Rattus norvegicus: one gene and its partner. The protein of the gene in region 1 purifies or fractionates together with the protein of each later gene. This does not show direct contact. Links are inferred from orthologs where the notes say so. Each region holds a gene or a part of one and is shown in the gene's direction. Other genes may lie near its edges.

Region 1 (5,827 bases):
TTAGAATCTCACAGGCTGGCTTGAAATTCACTGTGTAGACTAGGCTGGCCCTCAATTTGCTGTGATCCTCCAGTCTTTGCCTCCCAGGCATTGGGATTACAGGTGTGCACTGTCACACCTGGATTTTTTTTTCTTTTTTTCGGACCTGGGGACCAAACCCAGGGCCTTGCACTTGCTAGGCAAGTGCTCTACCGCTGAGCTAAATCCCCAACCCCGTCACACCTGGATTTTTGTTCGTTTCTTAAGACAAGCCTTCATAGGACACAGGCTGGTCTGGCACTCACTCAGTAGTCCAGGCTGGCCTGTACTTTCTGGGAATCTTTTTGCCTCAGCCTCCAGAGTATTGAAATTAGAGGTTTGACCCACCACACCAAGGAGACCTCCACACACTGTGCAGTATAGCACCCCTGCATGCATACAAATCCATGTAGCAAAATATTGTAAAATAACATGCATAGAGAGGTGATTTCAGGGAGCTGGAGAGATGGCTCATGGGTTAAGAGCACTGACTGCTCTTCCAGAGGAATCCCAGCAACCACATAGTGGCTCACAACCATCTGTAATAAGATCTGATGCCCTCTTCAGACAGGCGGGTGTATAAGGCAGCAGAGCATTAAATAAATACATTAAATAAATAAAAATGCATAGAGAGGTGATTCCAGCAGATCAGGCAAAGCAATGGCCAATGAGATTGGTCATGGCTGGTGTCTCAGTCAGATTTCTCCTTTGTAATAAAACACCATGACCAAAAACAACATGGAAAGGAAAGTGTTTACCTCAGCTCACACTCCCTCACTGAAGGAAGTCAGGGCAGAAACCTGGAAGCAGGAGCTGAAGCAGAGACCACAGAAGATTGCTGCTCACTGGCTTGCTCCACCTGCTCTCTTACACAATGCTGGACCACTTAGTGGGCTGGGCTCTCCCACATCAATCACCAGTTAAGAGAATGCTTCACAGGCTTACCCACAGGCCAACCTCGTGAGGGTGTTTTCTCAGTTGAGGTTCCCTCTTCTCAAATGGCTCTAGCTTGTGTCAAGTTGACATAAAAGTAGCCAGCATAGCTGGAAGTTGGAGAATACTCCAGGGGAAAAAAAATAAGTGCAAAAACAGGTAAGAGATGTTGAGTTCTGGGAGCTTTAAGTAGAGTATATTTTAGTGCATCTGGAGCAAGTTTAAGTGTGGTTTATTAAAATATAAGACCAGAAAAGAACATGTATATGTATATGTATCCAGAGAAACAGGCAGAATCTTGAAAATCTTTGCTCTCGCACAAGGCAGTGGGAGCCATCAAACGGTGTTTTTATTTATTTCAGGTTTTTTCCCAGTCCTTACATAGCCCAGGCTAATAGAAAATGTAATACTCCTGCCTCAGCTTCCTAAACGGCGGGGTTCAGAAAACTGTTTTTAAACAGGAAAATGATGCCAGATTTAAGGTTTTAGAAAAAAAAATCACTTCTGGATATGAAGAATTGATTTGAGTGTGCCAGGCAGAGAGGTTATGTGGGAAGGCCAATCGGGGATTGTGGCTTGCATATTAGGGGCAAGGTAAAGAGTCAGGAGAGTATCCAGAGCAAGTTTGAATGTGCATCCAAATGTGCCAAGAAGCCTCCAGAGAATTCAAGCTCACCTAAGCAATGTTTATGTTAATTTTCAGAGGGAGTATTAGTGTTGGAAGAGCTCTTGAAACACTCAGAACCTTTCCCCCTGGACTTAATAGAGAAAGAAAAGCTCAGAGGCAAATTCACTTGTTCAAGGTCACATAACGCATTAGTCAGTGGCAGAACATGTCTGTCTATGTTTACAGAGCATCATCCATCCTCTAGAGAGACTAACCGGCTGGAGGTGCTGTGTCAACATGAGGAAATCTAGGGAGCTGGAACAAAATTTGAAGGGATTGGATACAGTTTCTTCTTCTTCTGCTTTGCTACTAGCAACTCCAGCAATAGTTCCTGAAGAACACTGTGCTAAGAGAAGCAGATATAAACGTGTGCAGTAGGAGTGCCTATCTGCTCCCAACATCCCCACTCCAGCCAGAAAAGGGAGTAAAGGGCAGACAGTACCCCATCCTTTCCTCCCACGTGGTTTCTCCAGCCAAGTTCTCACGGAGAGGCCCCTCCTTCAGCGGCTCCACTGTTACCATGGCAATTGGGTGGGTGGACAGCCCGTCCTATCTAGAGGCCAGCAGCCCTCGCGTGGGGAGTTACCATAACAACCCCCCTAGTAATAGAGGGGGTTCGGTCCCGCCTCCCTTCCCCCGCAAATAGAGAGGTGGGTGGTTTGATTGGCAGCTGGGCACACGAAAGAGGGAAAGGGAAGGAAAGGAGTCAAGTAAAGATCAACGAAGGAACTAGGAGAGGAAGCAATAATAATAAAAGGGGAAAGGAAGGGAAGGTGTGTGCGCACGCGCACCGGCGGGTGGGCGCACTCCTTCCAAGCCAGGTTCCAGCGAGGCTCGGTCCGCGCGTGCCCTCCGCCAGCTCTCCTGCGCCTGCGCGCAGGTGTCGGCACCCCGCTGGAGGGGGTGCCCGGCGCGTTCGCGTCACGGTCCGCTCCGCGCGTGCGCAGGGCAGCGGGCGGCTCGGGTTGCAGGCGCGCGGGTCAGAGCGCCTGTCAGCCGCTGGGTCGGTCCTCCCGCTGGCCCTCCCCCTCCCCGGCCTTCGGGGCAGGCGCGGTGGAGCCCGCCCCTCGGGTCCCCCGATGGGGGAGAAGCGGCAACGGCGGCAGCGGAGTGAGCGAGCCGGAGCGTGAGTGGCCCCGCGGCGGCCATGGGCGACCCAGCCCCCGCCCGAAGCTTGGACGACATCGACCTGTCTGCCCTGAGGGTGAGCACCGCCCCCAGCCTCGCCCCCGCGACCCCTGCCCGGCTCCGGGGCTCGCGCCGCCCAGGCTTTCGCCCTCTGGAGATTCTGGAAGCCGGTTCGGTCCCCACCCTGTGCTGCCCTCCCCCACACTTGCGTACCACCCCTACCTTGCTGCTGGGATCCGAGTCCCCTCCTTTATAGGCGTTTGAGGGTCACCTTTGGCATTCCTAAACACAGCCCTGCATCACCTGCAGAGCCTTTCTTGCTCCCCCAACCCCGTCGGCCCTTATGTCTGCTTCCTCCACCTCCTCCTCTGGCTCCTGGAATTTTGACTTTGCAACTGCCTCAGCCTCCCCCTCATCCCTCGTTTTCTTCCTCGCCTACCCCTGAATTGCAAGTTGGTCGGCATTTCACCTCTCACTCCACCCCACACACCTCCTACGTCTACATCCCACGTTCACTTTATCCCTTTTCTCGTGTTTCAAGTGCAGCTTTTCAGACCCAGGCATTTCCGGTCTCGGGGTCCCTGAATATTACATTACTAACTCTGCAGCCGCGTGGGGCTGGGAGGACAGACAAGTGCACAGTGGGAGGAAGGGAAGCCTGGATTTCCTCGCAAACTCGGACCGGAAGACGATGTTTACATACATGTACAAACACACAATACATGCTGCCTGTGGTCAGTAGGGAGGACTTGGGGAAACTCGTGGGAGTGGAGGCCAAGGAGAGTTGGAGGGAGGGGCTCATTAGGGAAGCGGTTAGGAGGAAACAACTGTGTCAGGAATGCTTTCAAATAACCCATTTATTGTTCCACGTGGGGCACTTACTCTCTCTCCTTCCGGAATTTTCAATTCAGCAGCATTTGTATGTTTTTCTTTAGCGGGCAGTTTTGTCTTAAGGGCAACATAGAAATTTCAAGGTGAACCACTCCAGACTGTCTCTCTCCCAGGTGGTGTTTGGATTCCGTCCCCTTCGAGCTTTCCCAACCTGCGTAGGTGTAGATAGAGCAGGGTTTCCCCACCTCATGCTTACCTTCGCAGAAGGTCTCTCTACACATTGTCTGCTGACTTTTAAATTAACCAGGGAAAAGGCAACCACCCCACAAGTGCCCCGGATATGACTGGAGGGGAGAGAGAATTGAAGAGAGCAGAGTCATGTTGTTAATTGGGTTTCTCTAGGTGACACAGTTTTGTTTTGTTTTTTTTTTTTCCCCTCCTCCCTTGCCATTCAGGTCATAATTTGTCTGGTGCAACGTTGGGTTTCTGGAGAACAAGATTGAGCATTAGATCTCTCTCTCTCTCTCTCTCTCTCTCTCTCTCTCTCTCTCTTTCTCTCTATCTCTCGCTCTCGCTCTGTGTGTGTGCGCACTTTGACAGAGAAGGCTTTAGGAGATAAGCTTAGTCCGTGTTTAAACTAGGATACTCAAGTCCATTGGGATATAAGATGTAAGTCCAGGTTTTGAGTAAAGTTTTAATGTGCTTGAATTTGGAATGCAATTGCAGATTGAAGTTGTTAATTAACTCTGGGCGCAGGTTCTCTGGCTGTGGTGACCATAAAGAAACACTGTTACTCCGTGGGTAGGTGCAGACCGTGACCTTTGATTTTTCCCTTTGGTCCTCTGCTTCTCTTTTCTTTTGGTTTCTCTGGTAACTTTATCTGGGCCCCCATCTTGGCGTTTCCAGCAATTCTGCAATTACTGTTTGACCTTGGCCATGGTATTTCCCTTCTGGACTTCCCTCCATGAAGTATGTTAGCCTCCTTCCATGCTTACTTCTCCTGGGTTTCCTCTCCTTCCCTTCAAGAGAACCGGGTGACCTGTTCCTTATACTTCTATCTGTCCTGCCTTCTGCTTCTGAAGAAAACAACCCATTTCTCTCACAGTGGTACTTCGAGACCTGAGGAAGAGCTGCAGTTTCTTGAAATGGGGCTGAAAGGCTGCTCTTTCCTTACTCCTGGCTTCCTTTGCCATTGCCAGTCTGGTCCAGCACACCTGTGAGAAGTGCTATGGCCTATCAGGCAGCTGGCCCAGTCACACCTTGTTCTGTTGATGCTTTCTAGATAGGAATGGAAACATTGGGTGAATTAACCAAGTATGCAAGCCTGGTGTTGGTTGTGTTAGAGTGAGAGAAGAGCATCCTTAGGGTTGAGTAGCTAGCCTCTATGAGCCTCAGATGTCTTTCTCCTCTTGTTTCAAGATAAGGTTTGGCTTTCAATTGACAGTAAGAGCAATAGTCTGATATTAGAGGAAAATTGAATTGCACTAATCTCTTAGTAAGGAGGCCAGAAGGACCTGTTACTTTGTAACCACACCACCCTTGGCTTCTTGGGCTGTTCATCCATCAGTACGGTGGCATAATGTAGAGGGGGAGGAACATGAGTCTGGTGTTGCTTTCTTGAATTGAAGTCCTAGCTTCCTTACTTCCTGTAAAATGCAGACCTTGGTTCTTTATCCTTACTTCCCTTCCTTCAGACTCTGCAGTCTAACTTCCCTAAGCTCCATTTTCTCGCCTGTGTGATGGGAACGGCAATAGCGTTAGACATAGTTACTGAAGTTAAATGAAATGATGCACGTTAGTCGGCTCAGTTCCTAGCATAGATCAACTGTATTACCAGTCAGAAAAGCCTCCCAGGAGAACTCTAATAAATAACACTCTCTCCTTGCTTTATGTTTCTGTAAAATTCTGTTTTTCATACTTCTTATCACTAAGAAGGCATAGATCTATTTCTGTCAGTCTTGACTAAAACATGAATTAAGGCTGGGGGGACTAACTCAGTAGTAATTGTCTGTTTAACATGGGCGACACACTAGGATCTTCAGTGCCACAAAAATAAAAGCATACTGTAAGCTAGAATTCTGACTGCCCTGTTCCCTGTCCTCAGTGCCTAGAGCGTTTTATGCAATGGGACTCAGAGACTTGTTAAGTGAGTGCACGCTGGAACAACTGGAAGCTGTTAGTGTAATGCTTGCTTAAAGTAATAAAGAAATGCGGGGTTGGGGATTTAGCTCAGTGGTAGAGCGCTTGCCT
Region 2 (5,860 bases), on another chromosome or scaffold:
ATGCAAAAATCCTAAACCAGAAACATTGTGTTAACATTAAGTCAGTGTGGCTGCAGGTTAGTTAAAAGAAAGGGAGAGACAAATAGTTAAGAACCAGGTTATGTAAAATCTTGTGATTCTGAAATGTTTTCCTTGGGGGAAAGGGAGGTCTATAGCTACGCCGATGTATTTGAGGACCTTGAATTTCTGATCCTCCTGTCTCTGTGGTGCTGGAGTGCAAATCCAGGGATTCGTGCATGCTAGGCAAGCACTCCAGCAATTGAACTATATCCCCAGAACATGATTTTAAATTTTATCGTAAAGTAATAAGCACCTTGGCCATGGGAAAGTCACTAAAGGGTTTCAAGCAAAGAAATTATATGTTATTTGAATGAATGGATAAATAGAGTGATGAGTTTGGGAAGAAGAGAAAACAAACAAAACAAAAAAAAAACCCAGGGAGATCAGATAGAAGTGTTTTTTTAACTCATACTTACAATAATAATTAATTCTTACTTGCCAGTTTCTGTATGTCAATGCTTTACCAAGTTATAACACTCATAATAATCCACTAAGGTGAGAACTTTTTTGGGGGCAGGGTGGGTGTTTAGAGACAGGGTTTTTCTGCGTAGTTCTGGCTGTCCTGGAACTCACTCAGTAGTCCATGTTGGACTTGAACTCAGAGATCCATCTGCCCCTACCTCCCACTGCCCAGCTAAGATAAGAACTCTTATTCCTATTTTACCTGTGAGAATAAGTGCAAGGGAGATCAAGTCCATATGAAAAAGAACGTGGTTTGAACTAGAAAAATAAAAGTGAAGATGGCCAGAAATAGATGCAAAACATATATTGACGTAAAACAGAACTTGGAAAGGATATGAACACATAGGATGAAGAAATCAAGACTGCCTCTTAAGTTTCTACCCAGTGTAACTAAACAAATGGATATATGGCATCAAAATGAGCACGTCACTTGTGGTAGTGGACACTGGAAAAAAAGAGAATTTGGGTACAGAGAGAAATCCAGACTCTAGTTTTTTAAAATGTCATATTTGAAATTCCTAAGGGAAAAAAATCAGATTGAGATGTTAAGCAGTCAGCTATTTGAATATGGAGCTGAAAATAAAAATCCTCAATTTATCAACATATAGTAGAATTTAAAGCTTGGAGAGCAAGAGAAGAGAACCCCAGTCCAAAACTAAATTATTTTACCGTGCCAAAATTTTTTTATCAAGACAACTGATTACATCTGTCCTTGGATTTTTCAGTCCCTCCTTTACCTTTTGCCAGTATGCAACACTATTCTTTTGGATATTCACCCACATATTAACATGACAAATCACAAACGTACCATACAAGCACAATAGTGTCTATCTGTCTGGTCCAGAATCCTCCTCTAATACCTAACCCAATAAATCCAAATGCCCTCTTAACAATTCCCTCTTAGATTAGCTCTTTCAACTATAGACGCATTAGATACCGTAACTCGCCAAAAGAAAATCTGAACACTACAGTACAACTTTCCAACGACACGGAACTTTATTACCAATTACTTTTCTATTTTTCGCCAGATCTTGATTTAAAATTGGTAAACTGGACATCGTCAGTGTCATGGCTAGATACGGGTAGCAACCAAAGCACGACAAAAATTACACTCCCTTTTAGCGAGTAATGTTTAAGGGGAGTAGAAAAGTAAAGAATGGTCAAGAGGGCGAGTGAGTACCGTATCCAAGGTCTTGATGAATATGTGGCAACAAAGTCACCTGTAAAGACAGCAGGCCCTGCAAGGAGGCAAGCTGAGACCACCTGAACCCTGGTGAAGAGGAGCCAGGTTTAGGATGCAGAAAGCAAGTGACAGTAAGGACTTCGTTAAAAGAGAAAGAAAGTAAAGAGGAAATACTCGAATGGGGGCACCTGTAGGCATAGGGAGAGTCCAAGGACCCGGGGCGGGCTGAGAAGCAGCCCGGCGAACTCTGAAGTGGACGCCGAGTGGGCGGACCGCACAGGGTGGGGGGGGGTGCCGAGGAAAACGGCTCAATTCAGAAGCTGTCCTGGCTCGCCTTACCTGTGCCAGAGGGTCCCAGCTCCGGACAAACATGCCGGAAGCATAAAGTTCCCGCGGAGGGGGAGGGGCCAAGAGGTTCGGAAGGAAAGAGCTCCCGTAGTCCCAGACAGCGAGGCCGGTCTCTCCCCTAGCACACCTAAACCCTCTGATGGCGGGAACTGTGACTAGACGCAAACACGTACGGACGCACGCACTCTCGACGCAACCAGTCCAGGCGCGTGCGCGTAAGCGCGCAAGTCCCGCCCCTCAAGCATTCGCTCCGCCCCATACTAAGCCCAGCCCCTAACCCGGGCGGCCCCGCCCCTGTCGTGACTGTACTGTAATACACATGCGTACTCTCCACTTTACCAACTTTGGACCTCCCACCATTTTCCTCTCGCTCAGCCTGCTTGAGCATGCGCAGTTTTTGTCCTTCCAAGACTGCTGGCCTTTTCCCGCCCTTCTCTGGCCTTAGGAGGAAAGTCAGAGTTCACGTTTCTTAGGGGATATACTTGCGATGCCGGGGGGATACGAGGACCAGTAGTTTGCAGACGTCATTTTGATCCTGAACCTGAAGGTTCAAGGGACATACTTTGGGACTATTTGTTAGGCCGAGGTCCAGGAGGCGGGAAAGGGCTGTGTGGGCGGAGGGTCGGAGGTGAGAGGTCAAAGGGCTGCGAAGAGGGAGGAGCGAGCCGGAGACGGATGGCGGCTCTTCATCTTCGGCTGCAGAGCCACTAAAGCTGGGACGCGGGTCCGGCGCGTCCAGCGGAAGAAGTAGAGCGGCCCCCGCTCCCAACATGCACAGCCTGGCAACGGCAGCGGTGAGTGGTTGCGCCCGGATGTCCGTCTCAGCCCATTTTCTAGTTCCCAGATTTGGGCCCCAAGTCTAGCTGCTTCTGCCCCTAGTCCCAAGGTCCGGGAGTCTCCACACGCAGACCGTGGCGGAGCCGGACCCCGCTATCCCCTCAAGACCCCTCTCCTGGCCTGGCGCGCGGCCTCTTGCGTTCTTTTCCGGCGCCGAGGCCTGGTCCCGCGCCCCGCGCTGCCTCAGCAGGCCATTCATTGATTCTTTTGCGCTCGGCGTCAGTTTCTGGTTGCCGGTTGTGTGCTGGGCGTCGGTGGAGATGAGGATAATTCCACGGCCATTCGCTCTGGTCCCGTGATCCCATTTCTCCTCGCCTAGGCAGATCTCAGTGATTAGAAATAGGCTTCTAGCTCAAGCCACTTTGCATGAGGAAAGCCAAAGACTATCTGACTTAAGGTTCTCTGCATTTAAAGCCTTCCTCGCACCTCTCGTTTTATCCTTCCAAGAAAAGCGAATCATGTATTACACTTCCCTAAAGTCATACTATGACTTTCGGTTAAATTTAGAGAAATTAGACTCCTTGACCTACAATTCCTGTATGATATGGTCCTTAGTCACGTTTATGGGCTTGATTTTTGTCACTTGCTCCCTAAGCTCGGACCAAAATGTATATGAACTTTTCTGTTGCATATTCTCTACCTGGATTGTATTTCTTAGGACTCTGACTCCATACATGGACACAAGTCTACTTCAGAGTGACTTTATCCGACCATCTTCATAGTAGCTTGTAACCCCAATATTTTCTCATAAAGAGCACTGATCCCAGTTTTAGTTACGGGATTTTTTATTTATTTTTACTTGTGGGTTGTCTCCTGGAAGTCAGGGGTAGGTATTTGGTGAGTCGTGTTTACTTGTTTTCACCACCACTGGGACAGTTCCTACTACAAGGTAAGCACTCAAATATTGCTGACCTGAATAGGTACTCCCACAACCGGAAGCAGCATAGTTTAAGAACACTTGCCAGTTTCACTTTCACCAAAGGGAAATGCTATCAGGAAAACAATCTACTAGGATTACATTATGAGACAACATGACGTAATGACTAAATAAAACATGAAAAACTACCTTAACTTCAAGTATAAAATGAAATATTTAGGACAGTCGTGCTTGGAAGGCAGAAGGCAAGTAAATTTGTGAATTTTGAGGCCAGCCTGGTCTATATGGAGAGTTCCAGACCAGCGTGCTAGCATAGTGATATCCTGACCAAAAAGAAAAGATAAACATTCTCCAGAGTGTGGTGGCAGCACATCTGTAATAATAGCTCAAACAAACAGACCACAAGTTCAAGATCAGCCTGGCAATTTTTTTAAATCTCAGAAAACATCTTTTTAAAAGATGGTTGGAGGGGCTGGAGAGATGACTCAGCGGTTAAGAGCACTGACAGCTCTTCCAGAGGACCTGAGTTCAAATCCCAGCAACCACATAGTGGCACACAGCCATCTGTAATGGGATCTGATGTCCATGTATCTGAAGACAGCTACAGTGTGTACTTATAATAAATCTTAAAAAAAAAAAAAGATGGTTGGAGATAGTAATTATAGCAGAATATTTGATCTAGCATTTGTGACATTCTGGGTTCAGTCTCCAGAGACTCCTCCCAAAAGTGAACAATCTGATTGGCATGACATGTTTTTAATCCCAGCACACAGGGAAGCAGAGGCAGGCAGATCTCTGCATTCAATGGCAGCTTGGTCTATGGAGCATTTTAGACCCAGTCTCAAAGGGGAAAAAAAAGTAAGCAACCCAGCTAAGTGTATGTAAGCGAGACCTATACAGAAACATTGCTTTAGGAACGAGTGAGATGGCTCAGTGAGTAAAGGGACCTGTTGCCAAGCCTGAGGACCTGAGTTAAATCCCCAAAACTCACAAGACACACAGACTAATACACATAAAAAATATTAACATGCCACTTTATGATGTTTATTTCTTCTTTTCAAAGCAAGTGATATTTTATATCCTGTTTCTAACTGTTCAAGTTCTGTTTTTTTAAAGGTTTATTTATTTTATGTGTACACTGTCTCTGTCTTCAGACACAGCAGAAGAGAGCGTCAGATGCCATTACAGATGGTTGTCAGCCACCATATGGTTGCTGGGAATTGAACTCAGGACCTCTGGAAGAGCAGTCAGTGCTCTTAACCGCTGAGCCATCTCTCTAGCCCCCTTGTTCAAGTTCTTAATTAGGGGACTATAGTTTTCATAGGGGGAGGTGTGCGTTTATATAAGCACAAATAAAGAATATATGTAAGCCACATACGAATTTCCTTCATTGCACAGCCTGATTGATAACTGATGGCCAGCTGTGTTGTGTTTTTCTGTAGTGGTTTTGCAGTTCTTAGAGGAAACGCTGAGCAATCTCAGCACAGTAAGATTTGTACAAAGGAACACTGCAAGCTTTCTAATGCTGTGGACCAGGAGTTTCCAGACGCCACTGGGCAGCCTATGCTTTGTTTTCTAGTTGTTCCTATGATTATGTTAGTCATGAGAATCTAGTCTTTTAATCTCCATACCTTTTGTCAATATCTCAAGGTTTGCGTTACCCTTAGTTTTGACATTGGTCTGATTGGTGCCCAAATGAAATTCCTGGTCCTCTTTTTGTCCTCACTTTGCCAAGGTCTAGGAGCAGCCATGAAGGGAGGCAGATGGCAGTCAACTGACAGGCAACAACTGGACAGAAGCCCCTAGCTTCTTTTGTTCCTTCTTCCCCAGTTACACATATGATTTGAGAAGCAGCAAGTTGAAAGGTGGCGTTGGCAGTAAGGGAGTTCCTCAGAGTTGGATGGTGGATCTGAGCGTCTGAGCGCACATGCTTCAGTACCGGTCTCCTCTGCCCAGATGCTCGTTTTCCTTTGTGGTTTTGTTCTTTTGTTTTTTGTTTTTGTTTTTGTTTTTTTTTTCGTCTTTTGCCTTTTGTCTTTTTTTTTTTTTCCTGCCTAATGCATTATTTGAATAGCTGTTAAAACTGTGGCACA

Evidence for each region.
Region 2: the proteins of Mink1 (region 1) and Cnot9 purify together in Homo sapiens (affinity purification with mass spectrometry; 3 studies listed by BioGRID and IntAct, with this or other methods). This does not show direct contact. The link is inferred for Rattus norvegicus from reciprocal best matches to the Homo sapiens genes MINK1 and CNOT9.

Annotation. Positions count from the first base shown.
Region 1 is NC_086028.1:55,774,440-55,780,266, forward strand, and holds the start of Mink1 (misshapen-like kinase 1), read left to right. Parts: upstream 1-2,563; 5' UTR 2,564-2,765; coding exon 2,766-2,822; intron 2,823-2,828; exon of another isoform or gene 2,829-5,827. UniProt on the Homo sapiens protein: Serine/threonine kinase which acts as a negative regulator of Ras-related Rap2-mediated signal transduction to control neuronal structure and AMPA receptor trafficking.
Region 2 is NC_086027.1:83,530,963-83,536,822, forward strand, and holds the start of Cnot9 (CCR4-NOT transcription complex subunit 9), read left to right. Parts: upstream 1-2,406; 5' UTR 2,407-2,823; coding exon 2,824-2,847; intron 2,848-5,860. UniProt on the Homo sapiens protein: Component of the CCR4-NOT complex which is one of the major cellular mRNA deadenylases and is linked to various cellular processes including bulk mRNA degradation, miRNA-mediated repression, translational repression during translational initiation and general transcription regulation.